2 linked regions of the Ovis aries genome follow. The protein of the gene in region 2 interacts with the protein of the main gene of each other region in a biochemical or structural test. Links are inferred from orthologs where the notes say so. Each region holds a gene or a part of one and is shown on either strand. Other genes may lie near its edges.

Region 1 (6,227 bases), on a different chromosome or scaffold from region 2:
TGACTAAGCATGTAGCTAAAGCCACAGAATGTGTGCATCTGTAGATCAATAGTGTCCTATGAGTTCTTGCACAATTAAAAATATTTTCTGTAGTGTAATACTTGGCTGTCTGGTTGTATGGATATAAAACTCTTGATTTTCATTTTTTTTCTTAACTTTTATGAAAATGCTCTTCTATTATTGCCTTGGTTTTTTAGTTTCTTTGGAGAATTCTAAAGTCCTTCTATTTTCCCCCACCTAGAGCTCTGTGGAACTTCCCATTACCCTTACAGAGAAGACATGTTTAACCTGTCTATTCTAAATATGCAACATGATGAGTCTCACAAAATATATATAGTTTTGTCGTGACAGGCTGTGTCCAACTCTTGTGATCCCATGGAGGGTAGCCTGCCAAGCTTCTCTGTCCATGGTATTTCCCAGGCAAGAATAGTGGAGTAAGTTTCCATTTTCTTTCCAATACATCTATACAATTACTCTATAATCAAGATGTAGAATATTTTCATCATCCCAAATGTTCCTTCATGCCTTTTGAAGTCTCTCCATGTTCCATAACTACACTATTTCTTTTTTGGAGTGGAGGTTTGTGTTCAATGAGAAATGAACGTTTGAAGAAAAACAATAACTTTTTTAAAAAATATAAATTTATTTATTTTAATTGGAGGTTAATTACTTTACAATATTGTATTGATTTTGCCATACATCAACATGAATCTGCCACAGGTAACTTTATCTTTTCTTTTTTCAACATTCTTTTATTGATAAACATTTAAACAATCTGTAGTTTTCTTTATGAAAACATAAGTTGTATGGAAATTTTAGCTTATGGAAATGTCCACAACTATTTTTATAGAAGGTATACATAAAAAAAGAAACATTCAAATGTTGAAAGTGAAAATAGCACCCCATTCACAAATTTGTTTAATTTTTCATATAGGATTTCATATTATTCAGTAGAATCTAGTATGACCAATACCCCAAATTCTTGTGTTTGGGGATAAAAACTCAAGGCTCTTTCAAGTCCTTTTGATTTGAGACATAAGGTGTGTCCTCTGGATTGGATTTTGACTTTTAACTTTACATTTTATTCTGAAAATGGTAATTTTTAAGGCAACGTTAAACATAGAAATAGCTAAACACCTAAAGTTAATCTTAACGTGATTGATAATTTTTTTAACACACATGTATGCCTGTGTAACTACTACCCAGGACTAAATTGAGTAAATGTCCAACACAACCTCAGGTTTCCTTGTGTCTCGTCCCATTCTGTACCACACGTTACACCACCTTCATGATGAGGTTTTCAACCTTTCGAAAGCCTACCAATGAAATTATAAGATATGTACTTAGTGAGTGTGTTTGATTTTTCTCCATTTACAAGAGCTGTGAGATTATCCCAAACCACTCTCTATCATTTTCTAAATTAGTGCGTATTAATCAGTCATATGAAAATGCTACAAATGTTTTATCCATTTTCTCAATGTTCATGGGAACAATTGCATTTTTGCCATTTATGAATAAAGCTGCAATGAACAATTCTGTATGTGTCTTTTTAAGGGATGCACTCCAGATCCTCTGGTGAGGGAGAGGTTAAGGGGAGAAACTTCCAGGTGCAAGATAGATGAGTCATAAACATGAAATATTCAGTGCGGAGCATTTAGTCAATAATTATGCAATTTTTAAAATCTTGCTAGATTGTAACTAGACTTACTGTGGCAATTATTTTGAAATGGACAGAAACATGGAATCACTAAACTGTGTAACAGAAAGTAACACAATGTTGTAGGCCAACTGTACTTAAAAGAACAAACAAATACTCTGAAAAATAAATCTCATTTGTGATTACCATAGGCTAGGCCTGGAGATAGGGGAACTGGATGAAGCCAGTCAAAAGGTACCAAATTCCTGCTGTGAGATAGATTAATACTAAGAATGTAGTGTACAACATGATTAATATGACTAATTCTGCTGTATCTTAAGTATGAAAGTTAATAGGATGGTAAGTCCTGAGTTCTCATCACAAATTCTTTTTTCTTTACTTTTATATCTAAATGAGATGATGGATATTCACAAACCTTATTGTTGTAATCATTTCAGGATATATGTAAATTACATCATTAGGCCATACACCTGAAACTTACGCAGTGCTTTATGTCAATTACATGTTAACAACATTAGGAAGTTGATCATCATAGAACCCATACATAAATAGCACGCAAGTGAAGGGATTGTGCTATAATTTATATGACTGTTTTTAAGCTCTACTATAATTTTTTTTTAATTTATTCACTTTCCCCAGTCCATGAAAATATGGATGACCCAAATGGCTGGTAAAAACTTCACCTACTGTCTTGAAATATATTATTGAAAGTTAGTATCTGATATATGGCTTTGGAGCTAGTCCATATTAGCCACAGAAAGTTGTGCACATAGATATCAGGTGATGAATACAATGACTTATTGGGAAACTACCAACAGAAACAAGGTAGGGACATTTCAAAACTTTGAACTTCAATATTTACTAAATGGCACTAATTAACTAGCTTCCTTGTAACGCATAAATTCAGTCACACTAGGTAACTGCAAATGAAGCAGATTTTTGAACCCTAAACAGTGCAACTGGAGTATTTGTGTGAATGTACCACTGGGAAAACCTAACATGTTGTTGTTAACCAATGTCCTTCTCACCTTGTGGTTTTACACTGCTCATGGACAGGGTAAGTTGAAACCTATGTGAACACTCAGCCTTCCTCCTAAATATAACTATCTACTTTCCTTTGTGTGTATTTTTGATTGAATAAACTGGTTAAAATAGTCTGCACTGTGAGATAACCATAAGAATACCTTAATGGAAAAATGATCAGACATTCACCTAAAAGGGGAAAACACAATGAATACTTTTCTATGTCATCTGAGTTCCACAGTGCAAAAAGGTACTCTATGTAGATTACGGGGTCATGTGAATATGCTCATGAAAATGTGAATAGAAAATGTGTCACAGAAAAGTAGATTATAATTCCAAAATGTTTAGGAGAGTCTTACTTGTAATATGAGAAAGCTCTGGAGAACAATGGTTATTTTTATACTTTTACATATGGTGATTTTTGCAGGTTCAAATCTCATTTTAAATATGTTCATTTGACTGTATTGTGATTATAGCTTAATAAATCTATTAAAGGTCATTAACATCGCTGTTAGTTTTTAAAAACCAGCGTAGGTACAAGATATATTTTCCTTTTACAAAATGTGAAAGACAGTCTTAATTTCCAGTGTAGTGCCAATATATTTAGAATTCTTTTCAGAGAGAAATGTAAATGTTGACAACCTTAAAAAAACTTGTCACTTTTATTTTTAAACTTATAAGTTGTTTTCATTAGTTATCTATTTTTTACACTCTCCCAATTCATCCCTCTACTCTTGGGCCCTCTTGCATCTAGACATCCGTTCTCTATGCCTGTATCTCTATTTTTGCTTTGCAGTAAGTTCATCTGTAGCATTTTTCTAGATTCCATATATAAGCAATATTATACAATATTTATTTTTCTCTTTCTGACTAGCTTCACTCTATGTGACAGTCTCTGGGTCTATCCATGTCTCTGCAAATTGTGCAATTTCATCGCATTTTATGGCTGAGTAATATTTCACTGTGTATATGTACCACTTCTTCTGCATCTGTTCTTCTGTTGATGGACATTTAGGTTGATTCCATGTCCTGGCAGGTGTGGATAAAATAGATAACTAAGGAGAACTTACTGTGTATCATAGGCAGCTCCACTCAATGCTCTCTGGTGACCTAAATGGGAAGGAAATCCAAGAAAAGGGAATATATATATATATATATCTATATATATATCTATATCTATATATATATATATATATACACACACATTCATATAACATATTCAGATTTGTTTTGATGTACAGCAGAAGCTAACCCAATATTTAAAAGCAACTCCAATGAAAATGAAAAACAAAAGTCAAATTATACAAATGTATTAATATAAGTAATTAAATAATATTGAAAACAAAGATTTTACTCCCAAATATAAAACTTATATGTTTTTCATTATGATATATTTGTCTTTCATTTTCTTAATAATCCATTTGTCTTCAAGTTTTTGTAAATGAAAACTCTAATGAGTTTTATGATCCCTCGTGACATTCAAGATGTGAATAGAATGTGCATCACTCTGCATTATTCATCTCATAATTTGTCGCATGCTATTTTAGTCCATTTGGTAATTTTCTTCGTGAACAACACTTGGAGCACAATAAAGCTCCCTGTCTAGTCCTTAGTGTTACAATTAAAAGCAGCTCTGGCCCCAGATCACTTATAAGAAAGGCTGCATCACCATTATTCTTGCTGAGGAGCAGGCAGACATGAATTGTTTCTCCTGATTCTCAGGTACATGAGTGATGGTTTATTAATCAGCTAGAATAAGATTACTGGAGAAGGCAATGGCACCCCACTCCAGTACCCTTGCCTGGAAAATCCCATGGGCAGATGAGCCTGGTAGGCTGCAGTCCATGGGATCGCTAAGAGTCTGACATGACTGAGCGACTTCACTTTCACTTTGTACTTTCGGGCATTGGAGAAGGAAATGGCAACCCACTTCAGTGTTCTTGCCTGGAGAATCCCAGGGATGGGGGAGCCTGGTGGGCTGCCATTTATGGGGTCACACAGAGTCAGACACGACTGAAGCGACTTAGCAGCAGCAGCAGCAGCAGAATAAGACTACAGGCATATTTCCAAACAAGAGGAGAAAGAGTATACAATATGAAAGAGAAATGTGAAACTTTGATAAATCTTCACCAGATATTCCAGTGCAACCCTTCTCTTCTCATTAACAACTGAACTCTTTCCAAAAGTGGTCTTAAAGCTAAATGTTTGAATATTTAAGCAAAGTTTTTCTTCCATAATTTATGGGTGCACTTATGAAATTTTTAGCATGCAAAATAATTGTAATATCAGATTCAAGCCATTAAGTAAAACTCACATCAACTAACACTTATTGTAGATACCTGCATGCCTGCGTGCTAAGTCGCTTCAGTCATGTCTGACTCTTTGCCTCCCCATCGGCTGTAGCCCACCAGGCTTCTCTGTCCATGGGATTTTCCAGGCAACAATACTGGAGTGGGTTGCCATGCCTGCCTCCACGGGATCATCCAAACCCAAGGATCAAACCTGCCTGTACTATGTCTCCTGCATTGGCAGGCGGGGTCCTTCTTTACCACTAGCACCAAGTGGGATGCCCATTATATTAGATACATAGTCCTAATTAACAAATGTTCCAGAAAACACATTGGCTTAAGACAATACACCTCCATATTCGTACAGCTCCTGTGGGTCAAGAATAAAGAAAGGGCTTCGCTGGCTAGTTATGTATTACTCTGTTTGGGAGGCAACTGGGTAATGGCCTGGGCCGCTGTTACCTGGACACTCAGCTGGGCTGGAGGCGTTGCTTCCAAGTTGGCTCACTCTCTTGGCTTTTGGGGGAGGCCTCAGCACCTGACCACGTGGTCATCTGTGCAGGTTACTCGAGAGACATCTAGCTTTCCTCAGGGCCAGTGACAGCAGACAGGGAGGAGGAAGCTTCCACAGCAGGTATGAGTTTGTCACACTGTCACGTCAGTAATGTGCAATCATGAGAAATGGTCACTAAGCCCTGCACACTCAGTAGAGAGGACTAAGGCTCTAATATTTGGAGAGAGGAGTGTGGAAGGCATTGTGGACTTTCCTAAAACCATCACATATAGAAAAACGTCAGGTGAGCTGAACAGAATATTTTCAGGGGATGCTTTCTTTACTCCTCAACTTCCTCTAAGTTGCCTCTAAACAATCTTCTTTCTAACAGTACACTGTAAGATTTCAGCATACTTAAACCAGTTATTCCATGAAAGAAAACTCTAATGATATAAAACAGTTCAATGACCTTAATGGTAATTCCAAGCATACATTTAAAATGAATTTTCAAAGCATAAGTTCCATTAAAATGAAGGTATTAGCAGTATGAAATAGATTTTAATCTGCATAAGAATTTTAAGAAAAATATTTAATCTTGTTTAAGATGGATTTATGAAAATGGTGCTGTGTGCTTAGTCGCTCAATCATGTACAACTTTTTGTGATCCTTTGGACTATAGCCTACCAGGATCCTCTGTCTGTGGAATTCTCCAGGCAAGGATATTGCAGTGGGTTGCCATTTCCTTCTCCAGGGGAATCTTTCTGAC
Region 2 (6,475 bases):
TGTCAATATTACACAACCAACTAAAATAAGTAAAAAGAGGGTATATTGGCTAATAGACTTCACTTCAGAGGACCTGAGGTGAAACTAGTAAGACTAGATTGAGAGACTCAAGCAATGTCCTTGAAGGCTCTGCCATCTCTTAGTTCCACCTGGGAGTCAAGGATGGAGAGAGGGGAAAGGGAGGACCACTTCTGTTAGGCAGAGAACTTTAAAACCATTTCACTTAAAAAAAAATCTATGTGCCAGTATTCAAGCATTCTGGCACATAGCTGTTGTCAGTTGTTGATGAGAAGTCAAGCCAGAAATCAATGATTAAGTTTAACAAGGAAGAGATTTTTGCTTACGTTCGTTTTGCTGAAGTGGTGGAGGCCAAAGTCTTGTTTGCATGGATTGAGGAGAAAACAGGAGATGGGGAAACAGAGATTGTCAGTACACAAAACCCTTTCCAGGAGTTTTCCAGTAAATGAGAGCAGAAATGATGAACAGTAGCTGAAGAAGTGTGGAATCTTGGGATGCCTGACATGTGGGATCCTTCCTCCCTTCTTTTCTCCTTTCTGTAAAAGATTAAATATATTACAGCATGTTTGTCTGGTTTGGGGAATGATTGAGTAAAGATGAAGAAATTAATGATGCAAAAGATAGGATACTGATGGAAGCAAAACTCTGAGTGATTAAGAGGGTCTGGGATCCTTTGCAGAAGTATAAAGGTTGCCCTTAGATATAGACAGACAGTTCATCCTTTGTCATAAGAGGGAGGCAGTATATGTAAGTAAAGATTCAGAAAGGCTGGTAGATTTGGAGATGGGAGGATGTGTAAAGATATCAGTTTGGATTTTATAGCAGGAAGACCACATTAATAGTTTTGATTTAACAAAAGACAGTATGTCTCCTTCAAGGAAATGTTGGGATGTTGGGGTAGTTAGTCTAGAGCTGATGCAGTGATTCCATAGTCAATTATCCAGGCTCCATCTATCTGCAACCTCAAATGTGCATCTCACCTATGGTGGTCGAGAAGTGATACTCTAGCTCCTATTATTATGTCTGAATACTAGATAGAAGGCAGAGGGTAAGTGGAAAGGAAGAGCACAAGAGAAGTCTTTAAAGGGGGCAACCTGGAAAATGTCCTTATTCCTTCTGTTCACATGTCATTGGCCAGAATGTAATCACATTCTCACTCCTAACTGCAGAGGAGGCTGGGAAGTTTAGTATTTGAGTAGGTGACCGTGTGCTCAACCAACCTGTTCTTACTGGATGAGAAGTGGAGAATGGGTATCGTGCAGCTGCCAGAAGCCTCTGCTACAAGAAATACAGTGGCTTTCTTCTAATTTCTCAGTAAAGAGCTGTGATTGCTGCACATAAGAATGGATGAGATTCTGGGGGTTTGAAGAGAGAGGAGGAGCTAAATAGCCATTTGAAGACTGGATTAAATAAAGACCCATAGTAAGACTGGCTTCCCAGCCAATGCAGGAGATACAAGGGGTGTGGGTTTGATCCCTGGGTCAGGAAGATCCCTTGAAGAAGGAAATAGCAACCCACTCCAGTATTCTTGCCTGGAAAATCCCATGGACAGAGGAGTCCATAGAGATTTTCTATGGACTTCCCTGGTGGCTCAGATGGTAAAGTGTCTGCCTACCATGCGGGAGACCTGGGTTGGATCCCTGGGTCAGGAAGATCCTCTGGAGAAAGAAATGGCAATCCACTCCAGTACTCTTGCCTGGAAAATCCCATGGATGGAAGAGCCAGGTAGGCTACAGTCCATGGGGTCGCAAAGAGTTGGACATGACTGAGCAACTTCACCTTCACCTTCATGCATCCATAGGACTGTGGGATGCAGTCTATAGAGTAGCAAAGAGTCGGACACAACTGAAGGACTGGGTGCATCATCTTGATTCCTCCCTGAATCTTGACATGAAGAAACTCTGACATATGGTACGTTTGTGATCAGGCACATGTTTCACTGGACCAGAGATTTCCTTGCAATGAAACTCAGCTGACAAAGAAAAAATTGTCCTTGGCTCTGTGGATGACATGTTTGTTTTTGGTATTACCCAATTTGTGAACTGGAGGCATCTGAAAAGGGTTGGCAATGATGTTCATCTCCAGAAGCTATCCTCCATGAAACACCAAGACTCGGGCTGAAGTGGGTGCTAGAGATGCACTATGATATGTTCTCAGATGGCCATGCTTCTATTAAGATTTTTTAAATTATTTTCTCAAGATAAATACCCAAGTGGAACTCTCAGAGAGCTTCTTCATTTTTCCTGTCACAAAGAATTGGTGATCTCATAGTCACAGGAGCTTGTAATAAATAACCAACATTGATTTCTCTGTTCCAGAATTATTTTGCTTCCCTTATTTCCAGAGCCCTGACACTTGCTGAGAAAGCTAGTATTGGAAAATCATTTACGTGGTGGCACAGACTCCCCCACTGCCTTGGATATAAATCCATGCAGGATGGAGCAGGTCTAGAGGCAAAGAATCTAGGACTTCTGGTTGCTGAGCTTTCAGCCAAAGACATCTTCTCCAGAAGGGTGAATCCAGATGCTAGAAGTATTGGAGGCATAGACTGACCATGGAGAGGCTGTTGTGGTGCTTCCTGGCCTTGGTCGGCTTCTCTAGTGTTTTGGGCCAGACAGGTAGGGGCTACTCCAGGATGTGCCAAGTATTTGATTTGAGTGATAGGAGTGGGGCCTAAGATTATACAAGGTGAAGTCAGAGGGACATCCAGCATGGGTGAGTGTGTGTATGTCTGTGTGTGTGTATGACACTGAGGAAAAATCAGTCTATTTCTCAATCCCAAACTCTATTTATGCAGGAATAGATCTTTGTGATCTGAGAAACTTCTCACCTCTCCTCTGCTTTCTGTCTCACAGACTTGCATAAGAAGGCCTTCGTGTTTCCCAAAGAGACGGAGAATTCCTACGTATCTCTGAAAACACAGTTAGAGACCCCACTCAAAGCCTTCACCGTGTGTCTCTATTTCTACACAGAGCTGGCCCGAACCCGCAGCTACAGCATTTTCTCTTATGCCACCAGGCAGCAACCTAACGAGATCCTCATATTTTGGTCTAAGGGTAGAGGCTATACTTTTGGAGTACATGGGAAGGAGGTATCATTCCAGAGTTTCGAAAATACTCAAGCTCCAACACACATCTGTGCCAGCTGGGAGTCCACCTCCGGAATTGCAGAGCTCTGGGTGAATGGGAAACCCCGGGTGAGGAAGAGTCTGGAGAAGGGAGCCTCTCTGGGGAAAGACGCCAGCATCATCCTGGGGCAGGAGCAGGATGCGTTCGCTGGGGGCTTTGATAGAAACCAGTGTTTGGTGGGAGACATTGGAGATGTGAACATGTGGGACTTTGTGCTGTCGCCGGAAGAGATTAACACTGTCTATATTGGTGGGAACCTCAGTCCTAATGTCCTTAACTGGAAGGCGCTGAACTATGAAGCAAAGGGTGAGGTGTTCATTAAGCCTCAGCTGTGGTAGTGAGGTTGGGCTGTGGTCCTGGAAGTGCTTCCTGGCAATTCCACCCTATGGCTCTGGACCTCCCCACCCCTGTACACACCGCTGCAGGCCTGCTCTGTGAACACAGGCTTTTGCTTCCCTGCTCTACCTTCCTTAACACCAGATGGAATTTTTAAGTATCTGGCTTGGGAGATTGGAAAGCTTTGCCCACAAGGTCAGGATTGCAGATGCTTTGGGATTTCCTGTTTTTTTTTTTTTTTTTAAATTGATTATCTTAGATTATTTTAGAGATAATCCCTTACCCTCACTTAGATAAGAAGATTAGGACCCAGCAAGGAGAAGTGATTTTTTTTTTTTTAAGTCAAAAGGTGAATCTTTGGGCTGAGTAGGGAGTGCTGGTCTCATATCTAATTTCCTACTAAGAACCCCCCAGAAAGTAGGAGAGTCTTCCTCATCTTCACAGGGCTCTTCAGTGTCAGAGTTCTGACACTGGCCCAGGTCTTCTGAAATGGGAAACCTAGTGATGCAAAGTACCCTGGAAGGGCAATCAGAAAGGCCCAATACAGAAAACCTATATTTTTTCATGGGCAAAGTGGAGGCATCTAGTTAGTTACTTTAATTGTTATTGCCAAGCGTTTACATAGCCATGTTTTTGTTTGCTCACAGTGATTTCTTCATTTTGTGGTTCTTTTGGGGAACTCTTCTCAAACACCATCTGAACCACATGGGACGGTGCATCCCCACCTGTTTCCCCAACATAGCCAGGCCACAGAGTGGGTGTGACTCACACTGAACTATCAGAGTAGCCAAAACTTGTTTGGAGATTTAGGATGGCGGGATGGTTACATGCTCCTAGCTGGACACATTATAGTCTTTCCCAGGACTGATTTATGAACTCTGGGAGTGAGACATCTTTCTGCTGGAATTCCCATCTGAGAGGGTATTAGCCTGAGACTGTCAGCAGCCATCTTGTCTACCACATGGAGAAAGACTGTGAGGAAAGAGGCCAAGCTGTGGTCAGCAGAGCTGAGGAATTGACAGAGCAGTGGAGCCTTGACTGGACTGTTTGAATTTCTGGATCTGCTTTGCCTGGAACCAGATCTACACCTGAACCTCTCATGTTCATGAACCAGTAAAGCCCCTGTTTATATTAGTGAACCTGAGCTGTTATCTGATGGTTGTATTTCAAGTGGTGACTAACTTTTCTAACAATCTTCTGAAACCAAGTCCCTGTGAGTTCAGATGAACCATTACCTGTCTTGCAGTGACATAGCTAATGGCTCTCCAACCTCCCATAGGGATTTTTTTCTGTCGAGCGCAACCCCTCTTTTGTGATAGCTGGTAATTTGTGTGAGGCCAGTTGTGGGGGTGTAAAACTCTCACTCTAGAGAGTAAGAGGTATAAACTATTTTGTATAAAATAAGCTACAAGAATATATTGTACAACATGAGGAATATAGCTGATATTTTATAGTAGCTATAAATGGAGTATAACCTCTAGACATTGTAAGTCATTATATTGTACACCTGTAGCATATAATATAGTACTGCAACTATACTTCAGTTAAAAAAACTCACTGTGTTATTACTCCAATATGAGGAACAAAAACTAAAGCTCATTGACATCCAAGAATCTGCTGTCAGTTTCAATGGCTGGAATGCACTTTCCAAGCTGCTTAAGTCCCTTGTAGAGAAAGACCCCCCAAGGGTGATGGCTGCTGGTTTCTTCCAAAGGTGTCCTTCACCTTGGCTTTTTAGTACTAAGTGAGCTGTTGAAATTACCCCACAGAAGTCACACTAAAGTATGAACTAGCCCTGTGACTATGTATCAAATAGCTACTTTGGGGAAGGCATACAGTAGACTAGTTAAACATAAAGTTTCTGGAATCACCCTGCCTAGGTTTAAATCCTGGCTTTACAACTTACTATGTGACTTTTTGTCTTGGTTTTCTTGTCTATAAAGTGAGGAGAAATAATAGTAATTAGCTCAAAGAGCTGTTGAAAGGATCAAGTGAGATCATGCGTATAGAGCACTTTAGGGTAGTGCCTGGCACATAGTAAACTCTCAGGATAGTTATCTGCTATTATTATTATTGAAGAGAAGGGGATGACAGAGGATGAGATGGCTGGATGGCATCACCAACTCAATCGACATGAGTTTGAGCAAGCTCTGGAAGTTGGTGATGGACAGAAAAGCCTGGCCTGCTGAGTCCATGGGGCACAAAGAGTTGGATATGACTGAGCGACTGAACTGAACTTTGTATGCTGTCCGCAATCAAAGGTGGATTATATACCATTGAAACACAATTTGGTGGAATTAGTCTGGGTTGATTGCAGTTGAAAGGTCTGAATCTTAACCAAAAATTAAACTCAGAATATTAGAATGATAAATTTATGAGTGTTGATTTATGAACATTGATTCCCCTAATTGACTTTTGGTAACCATTTGAAAGCATAGAAGTTAAGGGTAAGGACTTGCCTGGCGGTCCAGTGGTTAAGACTCTGCACTTCCAATGTAGGGGTCTCAGCTTTGATCCCTGGTTGGGGAACTGAGATCCCACATGCTGCACAACATAGACAAATAAATAAATTTTAAAAATGTGGAAAAAAAAGAGAAGTTAAGGATATGTTTTCCTGGGTAAATATGTGAGTGCAAATATTTTTTGTTGTCTAATTAGGGCAGATCCATATACCCTGACATTCAGTTAAGAAGAAGGAAGGGTTGATTTTTTTTTCCCCCTAGTTAAAGAATCCATTCAGGAGTTATGTCTTAATTATAGAAGGCTATCCCAACTCCCCAGGGATGTGGGCTGAGCTAATATTTTTCTCAGAATTCAATTACTGGTACCTTGCCACACATAGTTTAGTGGACACCCTCTGGTCCTGATCATTTTAGCCAGGGAAATTTTTAAAGCTGGTATTTGCATTCAGTGAACATTTAAAAATCTCAATAAAGCATTTCTGGAATGTTTAAATAACTTAGCTTACCTAAAGATTCTTCATTGTAATCTTG

What was found. The genes of interacting proteins can lie anywhere in the genome.
Region 1: the proteins of CRP (region 2) and complement factor H-like form a complex in vitro, tested with the Homo sapiens proteins (4 studies listed by IntAct, with this or other methods). The link is inferred for Ovis aries from reciprocal best matches to the Homo sapiens genes CRP and CFHR4.

Annotation. Positions count from the first base shown.
Region 1 is NC_056065.1:5,613,184-5,619,410, reverse strand, and holds the start of complement factor H-like, read left to right. Parts: upstream 1-2,585; 5' UTR 2,586-2,656; coding exon 2,657-2,714; intron 2,715-6,227.
Region 2 is NC_056054.1:110,719,227-110,725,701, reverse strand, and holds CRP (C-reactive protein), read left to right. Parts: upstream 1-2,467; 5' UTR 2,468-2,572; coding exon 2,573-2,636; intron 2,637-2,873; coding exon 2,874-3,484; 3' UTR 3,485-6,437; downstream 6,438-6,475. UniProt on the Homo sapiens protein: Displays several functions associated with host defense: it promotes agglutination, bacterial capsular swelling, phagocytosis and complement fixation through its calcium-dependent binding to phosphorylcholine.